Linked DNA regions of Ovis aries. The protein of the gene in region 2 purifies or fractionates together with the protein of the main gene of each other region. This does not show direct contact. Links are inferred from orthologs where the notes say so. Each region holds a gene or a part of one and is shown on either strand. Other genes may lie near its edges.

Region 1 (3,467 bases), on a different chromosome or scaffold from region 2:
GAGGCCCAGGCCAAAAGCTATTCCTGGTTAAGGTACTGCATGGGCACTGACTATGTAACAACAAAGAAAAAAAAAGGGAAAAAAAGGAGAAAGGTCATCCTCTACCTGCTGCTGCTAAATCGCTTCAGTCATGTCTGACTCTGTGCGACCCCACAGACGGCAGCCCACCAGGCTCCCCCACCCCTGGGATTCCCCAGGCAAGAACACTAGAGTGGGTTGCCATTTCCTTCTCCAATGCATGAAAGTGAAAAGTGAAAGTGAAGTTGCTCAGTCGTGACCCCATGGATTGCAGCCCACCAGCCTCCTCTGTCCATGGGATTTTCCAGGCAAGAGTACTGGAGTAGGATGCCATTGTCTTCTCTCATCCTCTAGCTACCTGCCAGTAAAAACCAAGCCCTTCCATTTCTTTCTGGAGACTGATCGGTTCCATTCCGCACAATACAAAGAGACAGAGAAAAAGTCCTACCAGAATCTTAAGACAAGGTGGAATATTTATCATCACACACATCCTGAATGTGTCTAAGCCTCCTAAATTTTTAGCAAGTGCTCAGACTCCATCAAACACAAGACTGACAATCTCTAAAACAAAGGCGTGACTCAATAAGAGTTGATGCCTGCACAGTGACAGATCCCAGTTTATGCTGAACTCCTAAAAATACTCCAGGGGGATTTAAGGAGATTGAGAGAAGTACCAAGGAAAATTTTGTACTATACAAACTCTACCAGGGTTCAAGGGCAATTATCTTTCAAACATGTAAAAGGGCCTCCAAGGATGCCAAGGTTCTCAGGGGTTCAGACTCTTCCCCCCACTCGGCCTGGCAGCCCACGTGGGGCTCGGGCACTCCTGGCTCAGCTCAGCTGCCTGGAGGACAGAAGCAGCAAGGGTCCAGCGAAACCTATACTCCTTAAAATGCTGCCTATTCGAGATGCAAAACAACTGGCAAATGTTCAGTCCTTCAAAGGGTGTCAAAGCCAATACAAAGTGGCTGTAAACGTCATCAACAGTTAGGATGCATTTTAGGAAGAGGTAAAATCTGTGGATTTAGAAAGTTATCTTAAAAATGCTAAGTTTTAGCAAAACAGAAAGTAACTCAGGATTAAAGAAAACATTCCCATATAAAAATGTTTCATTATAGTCAAATACTTTGTGAAGAAAAAAAAAATCGTTCATTTGATCCTTAAGTTTTAACAGATTGAAATATTCTTAAAATGCTAATATATTCATATTTGATGAATACTTTTTCAAGAATAATGCTCTGTAAAACATGGTTTTGGTAAAGACACACCCACTGAGTAAGAACTGGAATCTTGACAGAGCTCCAAGGAAATTCTCACATGCAGCCAGACTGGAAATCGGTTCTCATCACACCAGGTATGGTGGGCAGCTGGTCTGGGACAGGTCAGAGCAAGGCTGGACTTACCTCCGTCCATGTGCTTCAGCGCCTTCTCAGCCTCGTCTGGATTCTCAAACTCCACATAGGCGTAGCCTTTAGACAAATGGGGGTGCATCCTTTCTACAGGCATGTCAATCATTTTAATTTTCCCATAGGTAGAGAATATCTCCATGATGTGATCCTAGGGAGGAAGAAGGGTCACTTAGGCTCACCCTCCCTTCACTTGTGTAGAAGTCAGAGAACTCGCCACACAATGACCACACCCTCAGCACCCTAAGCACACACACAAAATATATTCTGTTAAAAGGAAGTAACCAGTGCTCTACTTGGTCACATGCCACCAACTCAGCCCCCAGAAATGCTGCATTCTACGTTTACCTTCTGGCAGAGGCGGGCTTCTCATTTTCCATTTTAAACATCTGCAAGAATCACCCCAATGTCCACTGGACAGAAGCAGATTCCTCACCTTGGTCACATTCCTGGTGAGCCGCCCAATGTGTACTTTGGTGGGTTTAGGGGAAGGGCTCCGCCTTTTCCTTTCCTTTTCATCTCTTTTGGGTGGTTTGGACCTAATTGAAAAATACAAAATCCTATTAAGACAGTGAAACTCCTTTTTTGGTCTACTTTGGTAATAACTAATGGTAATCTTATAGCCCCAGTCTGTAAACTTAGATCCCAGATAACTCATGAGTCTTGGAGGTAATCCCCTGAACTGACCAGTCCCCCGTGGAGAAGAGGGGCTGGAAGGGGGCTCACTTGGAGCGGGAACGCCGCCTGTTGTCGTGTCTGCGCCGAGAAGGGCTCGGGGAGCCGGAGGAGCTGCTGGAGCTGGAGCTGCGCGACGTGCTGGAACTTCCCGAGCGGCTCGAAGCCGAAGACGAGCTGGAGCCGCTGCTGGAGCCCGTGCTGGTGCTGGAGCCTGAGCTGGAGGTAGAGCTGGACCGGGACCTGAGGGCCGAGAGGGAGGGGTCACCGGTAGAAGCAGTGCTGCCTCACTGCAGACAAGTCAAGGGGAACCACTGGGCTCGTATTCTCAAGCCTCAAGGCTTTCCCCAGCACCCACGGACACCCTCCAGCCCCATCCTAACAAAGCCCTTGCAGGGACAGAAACAGCATATGTACCATGCAGTGACAGGACTGCTTCCTACCTACACAGAAGCCTTGCCTACTGGGAGGAAAAGGAGCAGTCTGGGAAATCAGAGCCCCCGGCTCAGCTTGGAAGGCAGCTACTGACTGACACAGGCTGGTTTTCAACAAAAGGAAAAGGAAAGAGCCAGGCTAGGATGATCCAACCACAACTCCAAATCAAAAGCACGCGAGAAAAAAGCATAACTCAAGATGTTGCATTCCTAATGCCTCCAAAAAAGAAAACAACCAAACATACCAACACCGTCCTCTGTATGATCAGAGCAAAGCCCAAACCAGTCTGCCATAAATTAGTAATCTGAGTGCTTTATCAATAAAAAGAAAGAACACTCTGCAGGCTCTTTGGGAAAGAAGAGGGCCATGGCCTTGGAAGTAAGGCCCTGGCAAGGCCCTGACCTGCCAGCCCCACCTGGTGCTGCTGCTCCCGCTGGAAGCACTGCGCCTCTTCCGAGTCTTATCCCTGCCACGATCCTTCTCGCTCGACTCCTTGGTGGCCCCTTTATCTTTAGAGCGGTCCTTGGACTTCTCATCAGAGCGGTCTTTGCGTTTGGTGGGAGAAGGCGCCCTGGACAGTGAGGGAGAGTGTGAGATGACATGCCCCTTGGGCTGAACCCTGAAACCACAGCACAACCCAAAAGGGGATGCAAAGGGCTACAGAAACCCCAGGCCACCACAGAGCAAAAGGGTCTGTGGCTTAGGACACTTTCACTGTAAAATTCAAGATATTTCCAATGTCCCCCTTTCTGCGGGTCCCTAACAACGAGCACCCCGAAAGTAGCACTAGAAAAATCTGACAGAAGGATTACCTAGTGCTGGACTTTTTATTATTTTCTTTGACTCCTAGCAAGCTCTTCTTTTTCACTCCTGATAAATCCATTCTCCCCTTCTGAGGTGTTCAAAGCAGCAATGGCGGCCTCACTTATCTGA
Region 2 (2,618 bases):
TGACTCCACTGCTGGGTTGTGATCTGAACATGGAAAGCACTGGTCTGTTTCTCCGCATCCTTGCTGGGTGGCTTGTCCTCTGTTCGGATGTTTCATGTCCATGTCCAAGCTTTTGACCCTCATTGCTGAAAGCTATTCCTTAAATAGCTTCAGGAAACTCCCTTCCAGGCAGTGGGGGCAGAAGACTGAGTGAGAGGGCAGCTTCTGGAGTTAGCGGGGAATCACGTCTCTGCTCTGCCCTTTCTTGCCGAGTCACCCTGGGCAGGTGGCTTTTCAGCCTGCGTTTGTTTCCCACGTGAAGGAGGAGGGTAACTGCTGCTGCTTCCAGTTGTCCTTGTCGCCATTTGCTCGTCCAGCTTTTTATCGTGGCTGCTGGTCCAGCGTCCTGATGGAAGGCGCAGTACAGGCTAGAGAGGGAGGCAGCTGTTAATCAGCTCTCTCTTGAACGTGCGTGTACACACACATAGACGAAATTGGAAACTCCACCTGAGACACACACGTGAAATCGGAAACTCCACTGAAGTTCTGAAGCCAGTGTGTGGTCTGTGAGTGGAGAAGGGCCTCAGCTGGTAGGTCAGGGCAGGCGGAGTGAGGAAGTGAGGTGTGGGTTAAGGTGCGGAGGGTAAGTGGGAGTTAAGTAGAAAGGAAGGTGAGACTCCAGGGGAACGGGTGAATGATCCCCAACACTGGGCAGGAAGGACATGGAGACCATGAAGAGGTTGGAAAATGCCTGGAACCTTTAGAGCCAGGGGCCCTTGGGCTGAAAGACAGGGAGGAGGCCGGCCTCTGACCTTGGCTTGGGCGGTGGGCAGCCACTGCCGGCTTTGAGGCGGGTCAGGCTTCAGTTAGAAGGATCGGGGCTGTGTCTCGGGCGGGAATGACCGGAGGAGAGGGTCTGTCAGGGGCTGGGGCCTCCCCGGTGGGGGAGGTGAGCCCGGAGCCCTATGAGGGCGCGTCCAGCTGGCGCTGTGACCTTCTGATCTCTGCACTGCCCGCCGTCTCGGGGTCCCCACCCGCTCTGACCCGCCTGTGTCTGCCCCTCCCCAGGAGGCGGCCTGGGCGGCACCCGGAGAGGCGGGGCGGACGTCAACATCCGGCACTCAGGCCGGGACGACACCTCCCGCTACGATGAGAGGTGAGGCCGGGCCGGGTGTCCTGGGAGCGGGGCGGTGAGTGGGGGAGCCCTGCCGCAAACCTCTGCCCACCTCATCCAGGCCCGGCCCCTCCCCGCTGCCCCACAGGGACCGGGACCGGGACCGCGAGCGGGAGCGCCGGGAGCGAAGCCGCGAGAGAGACAAGGAGCGGGAACGACGACGCTCCCGCTCTCGGGACCGGCGGCGGCGCTCTCGGAGTCGCGACAAGGAGGAGCGGCGGCGCTCCAGGGAGCGGAGCAAGGACAAGGACCGGGACCGCAAGCGGCGCAGCAGCCGGAGCCGGGAGCGGGCGCGGCGGGAGCGGGAGCGCAAGGAGGAGCTGCGCGGAGGCGGAGGCGGAGGCGGCGGCGGCGACATGGCCGAGCCCTCCGAGGCCGGCGACGCGCCCCCGGATGATGGGCCCCCCGGGGAGCTGGGTCCGGACGGCCCGGATGGCCCAGAGGAGAAGGGCCGGGATCGTGACCGGGACCGACGTCGAAGCCACCGCAGCGAGCGGGAGCGGCGCCGGGACCGCGATCGCGACCGGGACCGGGAGCACAAGCGGGGGGAGCGGGGCGGCGATCGGGGCAGGGATGAGGCCCGAGGTGGGGGTGGCGGCGGCCAGGACAACGGGCTCGAGGGTCTGGGCAACGACGGCCGAGACATGTACATGGAGTCCGAGGGAGGCGACGGGTATCTCGCTCCGGAGAACGGGTATTTGATGGAGGCTGCGCCGGAGTGAAGAGGCCGCTCGCCGGCCGCTTGGACGTGTTCCTACTCCCCCTGCTGTCATCCTCTCCCCCACCTTCCTGGTCACCACCTGAATCTGCCAGCCAAGGGTAGGAGTCTCCTTATTTGTTTTGGTCTCTTGGATTTAAAAATAAAATTTCTTGTTGATAATGGGCGCTTGGTTTCTTCACTGCTCTTACTGTCTTCCCCAGGAGGGTGTCACCTTCTGACTTAGATGGCCCCACTCTGGTGTTCCAGGACAGGAGCTGTATGAACTAAAGGCTAGGGCTAGTCCCGGATAGCCAAGCTGTTGAGAGTAAGGAAGACCTCCTTAAGGGTCCTTGATGCCTTGCTTTTTTTCGGTGCTCCCACACATTTCTTGTGGAGCTGTTCATACTCCTATCTTAGTGTGGGGATGGGGCTCTGGGCCGTGTTTTCACGAAGCGTGAGAGCGAGATAAACAGGTAAAGAGAAGAGACAGGCTTGCCTATAAGTGGTATTGGGACAACTGGACAGCAGCTACATGTAAAAGAAAAAAACATTTTCTTAATGGCCATATACAAAAATAAGATGGATTAGGGCTTCCCTGGTGGTCCCGTGGTTAAGAATCTGCCTGCCAATGCAGGGGACATGGGTTTGACCCCTGGTGTGGGAATATCCCACATGCCAAGGAGCTGCTAAGCCCAGGTGCCACAATAAGAAACCACTGCAATGAGAAGGCTGCATGCTGCAACTAGAGAGGAACCCCGCTTGCCA
Region 3 (3,652 bases), on a different chromosome or scaffold from region 2:
ACTGTATGAGAATTATGTTTCTACTTAAACCTGGCCCATATATAGTTCCATTCAACAAATATTTAATTCCCTTACCATCATCATCATCCTGATTAGGATTAGGGACGTCTTTGAGAATGCTGAAGATTTCATCATTGGTTGCTTTACTTTTAAAGGCAACAGCTAAACAGAGGGCAACTGAATGTCCGGGAAGAGAGTCTAAGCACAGAATGCAAAGAGTTAAATAACTGAAAAACTTTTTAAAAATTACTTTAACAACAGAGTACTCTCTATCCTAAGGTCAATATTTATTCTATATAAAGATAATCACATATGAAAGTTTCATTCAATATGTCAATGGCTTTTCACCTAAAATAAGGCATAATAGGTTTCTTGTCTCAACACTTCCTTAAGAACATGGAGATAATTGAAATTCAGAGTGTGAGGCAAGTATGGATCTTCCTCAGGAAACACAGCTGCAACTCTCCTTTGATGGTCTCAAATCCCTAGGCCTCTAAGCTGAAAGGCTGAGAATCAATGTATTTCTCTTTCATTTTGGTCAATGATCCTCCTTTTCCCTAATACAGTGGAAACTAATTTTGGGTTTGAACAAGGTGCAGGCTGCCAACTTAAGACAGACTCTTTGCTTTTCTCTTTTGCTGAATCCACGTTCGTGAATCTACATAAGCCAGATGCTTGTGTGCTGTGACTCCACATGGTTACTGTTGGTTAGTATCTGTCAGGTCCTTACTGTATACAATCTGTGCTAATACATGTTGTACAGCATCACCAGAGCAACTGGAAATCTACTTTTAATGTAAGGTAGACAAAGAGGTAGCAAAAAAGGCAATTCTGACACAGAATATGAGTTACTAAGCATTTGTAATGAATAAAGTCAGTTCCAACAATTCACATGTGCTCTGTACTTTTCTTGAAAGTGGGAGAGAAAGGGAAGAAAAATCCTCCGCCATCGACAAGTCTACACTCTAGATAAGGAACCAAGATACTCACATAAAAAGTAGCCAGAGAGTAGCACGAAACTGGCTTGCTAAAGGTTAAGAAAATATTTACAAGAGTGGAGCTTGGGCTAGATCCTGAAGAGAGAACAGGAATCAGAGAATAGAAAGGGATAATGGTACAAACAAAGGTAAAACCAAGAATGAGAAGCATGGAAAAAACAAAGTGGGCTTGGCTGGAGTGGAAATGACAAACCGTCAAGTAGAAACAACAGTTTAGGTGGGCCTTAAACGCTAGGCTGGAGGCTGAGTTATTTCTGTGGGGAAAAAAGAAAGCTCAGTGTTCAACAGAAGTCTGAACTCTTTGATATCAAAGACTGTATCTTATGGTTCTCTGAGCCAGTACAAAGCAGAAATCAAAATGTGGCACTTCTAAGTACCACATCAAGCTCTGCTTTTTGCAGAAAACACAGTGATCAAGAACAAGGCTGCTCAGTATTTAAGTCTGGGCTTTACCTCTTTGAAGCCATTCCCTCACTGTAAAACTGGTGTTAGAAACATACCTATTTCTCAAGAGTTGTTTTAAGGAATAAGTGACACAGTAACATAGGAAATGGAATATGCAGCCCTGGAACCGGGTTTTGTTTCAAGGAAAACAGGTGTGGTCTGAAGTGCAGGTGGAGAAGCAGGGGTGCAATGTGAGAAAGCAAGCGAGAGGAATGAGTTTTAAGATACAAAGAACTGCTACACAACATGAAGTGGAAGGCTCACAGAGGAGCTGAGCACAGTGCCGCGGAAAAAGACTAACGGGAACTCCACACCTGCCTCTACCACTGCTCACCGGTGCACAGCCTTCCCCTCCACTAAGCGTAACGCACAATATGGCATATCAAATTAAACAGTCCCTTTGATTTACAGTGCAAATCTCAGAAGTGGCATGACCAAAAAGAAAGAAAGTATGTTTAAGAATTTACTTCTAGACTAGAGGCACACTGCAGGTAAAACATAGCCTCTGTGTGCACCTACGTTCCCACGCCTGTACTGTGAGCAGATGATAAATCGATTCATGTAATCAGAATTGCCATGACAAACACATACTTTCATTTTAGTAAGTTCTGGCTATAAATTCATCTTGCTATACTTAACACCACTTAAAATCTCATGAATCATTATAAACAATATTAAAAACAGTTACAAGACAGTAATAACTAAGGAAATCACAGTAAATGTTTAAAATTATTGACAGGGCAAATAAAACAACAGAGGCTGGTGAGAAATCACCTTTCAAACAGAGAAAATATAAACCCAAGAAGAGAAATAATTCACTTTCTCCACCTTAGATAATTGACTTAATATTTGCATTAGTACCTTTGAAAAACAGAGGATTCATTACTTACTGCTACTTTCATCTCCATACTTGTAAATGCAGGTTGGGTTTGCAGGACATAGAGCTGAGAAGGTAGGAGGGACAAAATCTAATATACGCTGATGGTAAGACAACCTACAATATAAATAAAAGCCTCAGAAAATACCATTCATCAGTTTCATTCTTTGGTAATACCCCACTTTACTCAGAAGATCAACACCCTGCACTCAGCTGACAACCAAGAAGTAAAGGGGCAACAAGTCGTTTTAACTCCTGTCTGGGCCAGCACAACAGAACTCACGTCTTCTTCAGAACTTTCTGGTTTGTACTGAGATGTGGGCCAGTGGGTCCACAAGCCTGGTGGCCAAGGATGTGAGGTGGTGATGGTAGGGTGGGATGAGGTGAAGGAAACAGTTTGTATGGTTGGGAGATTGGTTATATTGTAATAAATACTTATCAAGACAGTGGGAGACAAGTTTCTTAATGTCTGCCAAGGTATTTAGAAATCATGGCAAAGGGGAAGGCTAGGAAGAAAAATGATATGTTGGGTTGGAACTGGAAAGATACACACATCTAGGTGGATATAAAAACAGATTTATGTATGTATGGGTATATGTGTGCATGAAGATATTCACTATGCTTGTCCATCTAGAGGGCGGAAAACCAGTAACACCCAATAGCAATGAACACATCAAGTGTCCAGACCTTGCTACTTAAATACCATGCTCCACTAAAAGAAACTCCGCCTCTTTGAATGAATAGATGATTCCAGGAAGGGGGCAAGGAAACATAAGAAGAGCCCAGAACATTTGTGCCAGAAATAAGGAAATGCTCAATGAATGGAGGGAGAACATTAAAGAAAGGAAAAAAAGACACAGAAGGCACAAAGGACTCCCAGTGGACAAATCAGGGGCAATTTAAGCATCAAATTAGTAATGACAGTAATGAATTATAATCCACTGAATGAAATAGTCTCTACTGATATACAAACATAGGAATTAATAAACAGGTAAAAAAGGAAAGCTCTTTCTTACAGTAGAAAGCAAACTAATAAATGTAGAAAGAATAACAGAAAAAGGGAATCATCACCTGAGGATCATCATAGTGGTGGCAAATAAAAGTACGAGTTGCAGTGGAGATATGATGTAAGACGGGAGTGTTACCTCAGGATATTTCCCACAAAATATTAATCAACTACAAAGGGAAAAATGGGGAGTTTCAGGTTGAGAAGCCTGACGTGGCCATATAATTAAGATTAACATCTTTAGTGGTGGATAATGCGAGACTTGAGTCATGAGGATGCACCAAGGCGACACAACAAAGTAAGGCCCGCATTCTTTAAAACTGACAA

What was found.
Region 1: the proteins of SNRNP70 (region 2) and RNPS1 purify together in Homo sapiens (co-immunoprecipitation; 7 studies listed by BioGRID and IntAct, counting the BioPlex papers as one, with this or other methods). This does not show direct contact. The link is inferred for Ovis aries from reciprocal best matches to the Homo sapiens genes SNRNP70 and RNPS1.
Region 3: the proteins of SNRNP70 (region 2) and NCBP1 purify together in Homo sapiens (affinity purification with mass spectrometry; 3 studies listed by BioGRID and IntAct, counting the BioPlex papers as one, with this or other methods). This does not show direct contact. The link is inferred for Ovis aries from reciprocal best matches to the Homo sapiens genes SNRNP70 and NCBP1.

Annotation. Positions count from the first base shown.
Region 1 is NC_056077.1:2,301,043-2,304,509, forward strand, and holds part of RNPS1 (RNA-binding protein with serine-rich domain 1), read right to left. Parts: 5' UTR 3,418-3,467; coding exon 3,347-3,417; intron 3,106-3,346; coding exon 2,950-3,105; intron 2,343-2,949; coding exon 2,151-2,342; intron 1,964-2,150; coding exon 1,861-1,963; intron 1,576-1,860; coding exon 1,422-1,575; intron 1-1,421. UniProt on the Homo sapiens protein: Part of pre- and post-splicing multiprotein mRNP complexes. Auxiliary component of the splicing-dependent multiprotein exon junction complex (EJC) deposited at splice junction on mRNAs.
Region 2 is NC_056067.1:55,357,403-55,360,020, forward strand, and holds the end of SNRNP70 (U1 small nuclear ribonucleoprotein 70 kDa), read left to right. Parts: intron 1-1,047; coding exon 1,048-1,135; intron 1,136-1,214; coding exon 1,215-1,875; 3' UTR 1,876-2,033; downstream 2,034-2,618. UniProt on the Homo sapiens protein: Component of the spliceosomal U1 snRNP, which is essential for recognition of the pre-mRNA 5' splice-site and the subsequent assembly of the spliceosome. SNRNP70 binds to the loop I region of U1-snRNA.
Region 3 is NC_056055.1:49,996,121-49,999,772, forward strand, and holds part of NCBP1 (nuclear cap-binding protein subunit 1), read right to left. Parts: intron 2,437-3,652; coding exon 2,333-2,436; intron 892-2,332; exon of another isoform or gene 199-891; coding exon 76-198; exon of another isoform or gene 1-75. UniProt on the Homo sapiens protein: Component of the cap-binding complex (CBC), which binds cotranscriptionally to the 5'-cap of pre-mRNAs and is involved in various processes such as pre-mRNA splicing, translation regulation, nonsense-mediated mRNA decay, RNA-mediated gene silencing (RNAi) by microRNAs (miRNAs) and mRNA export.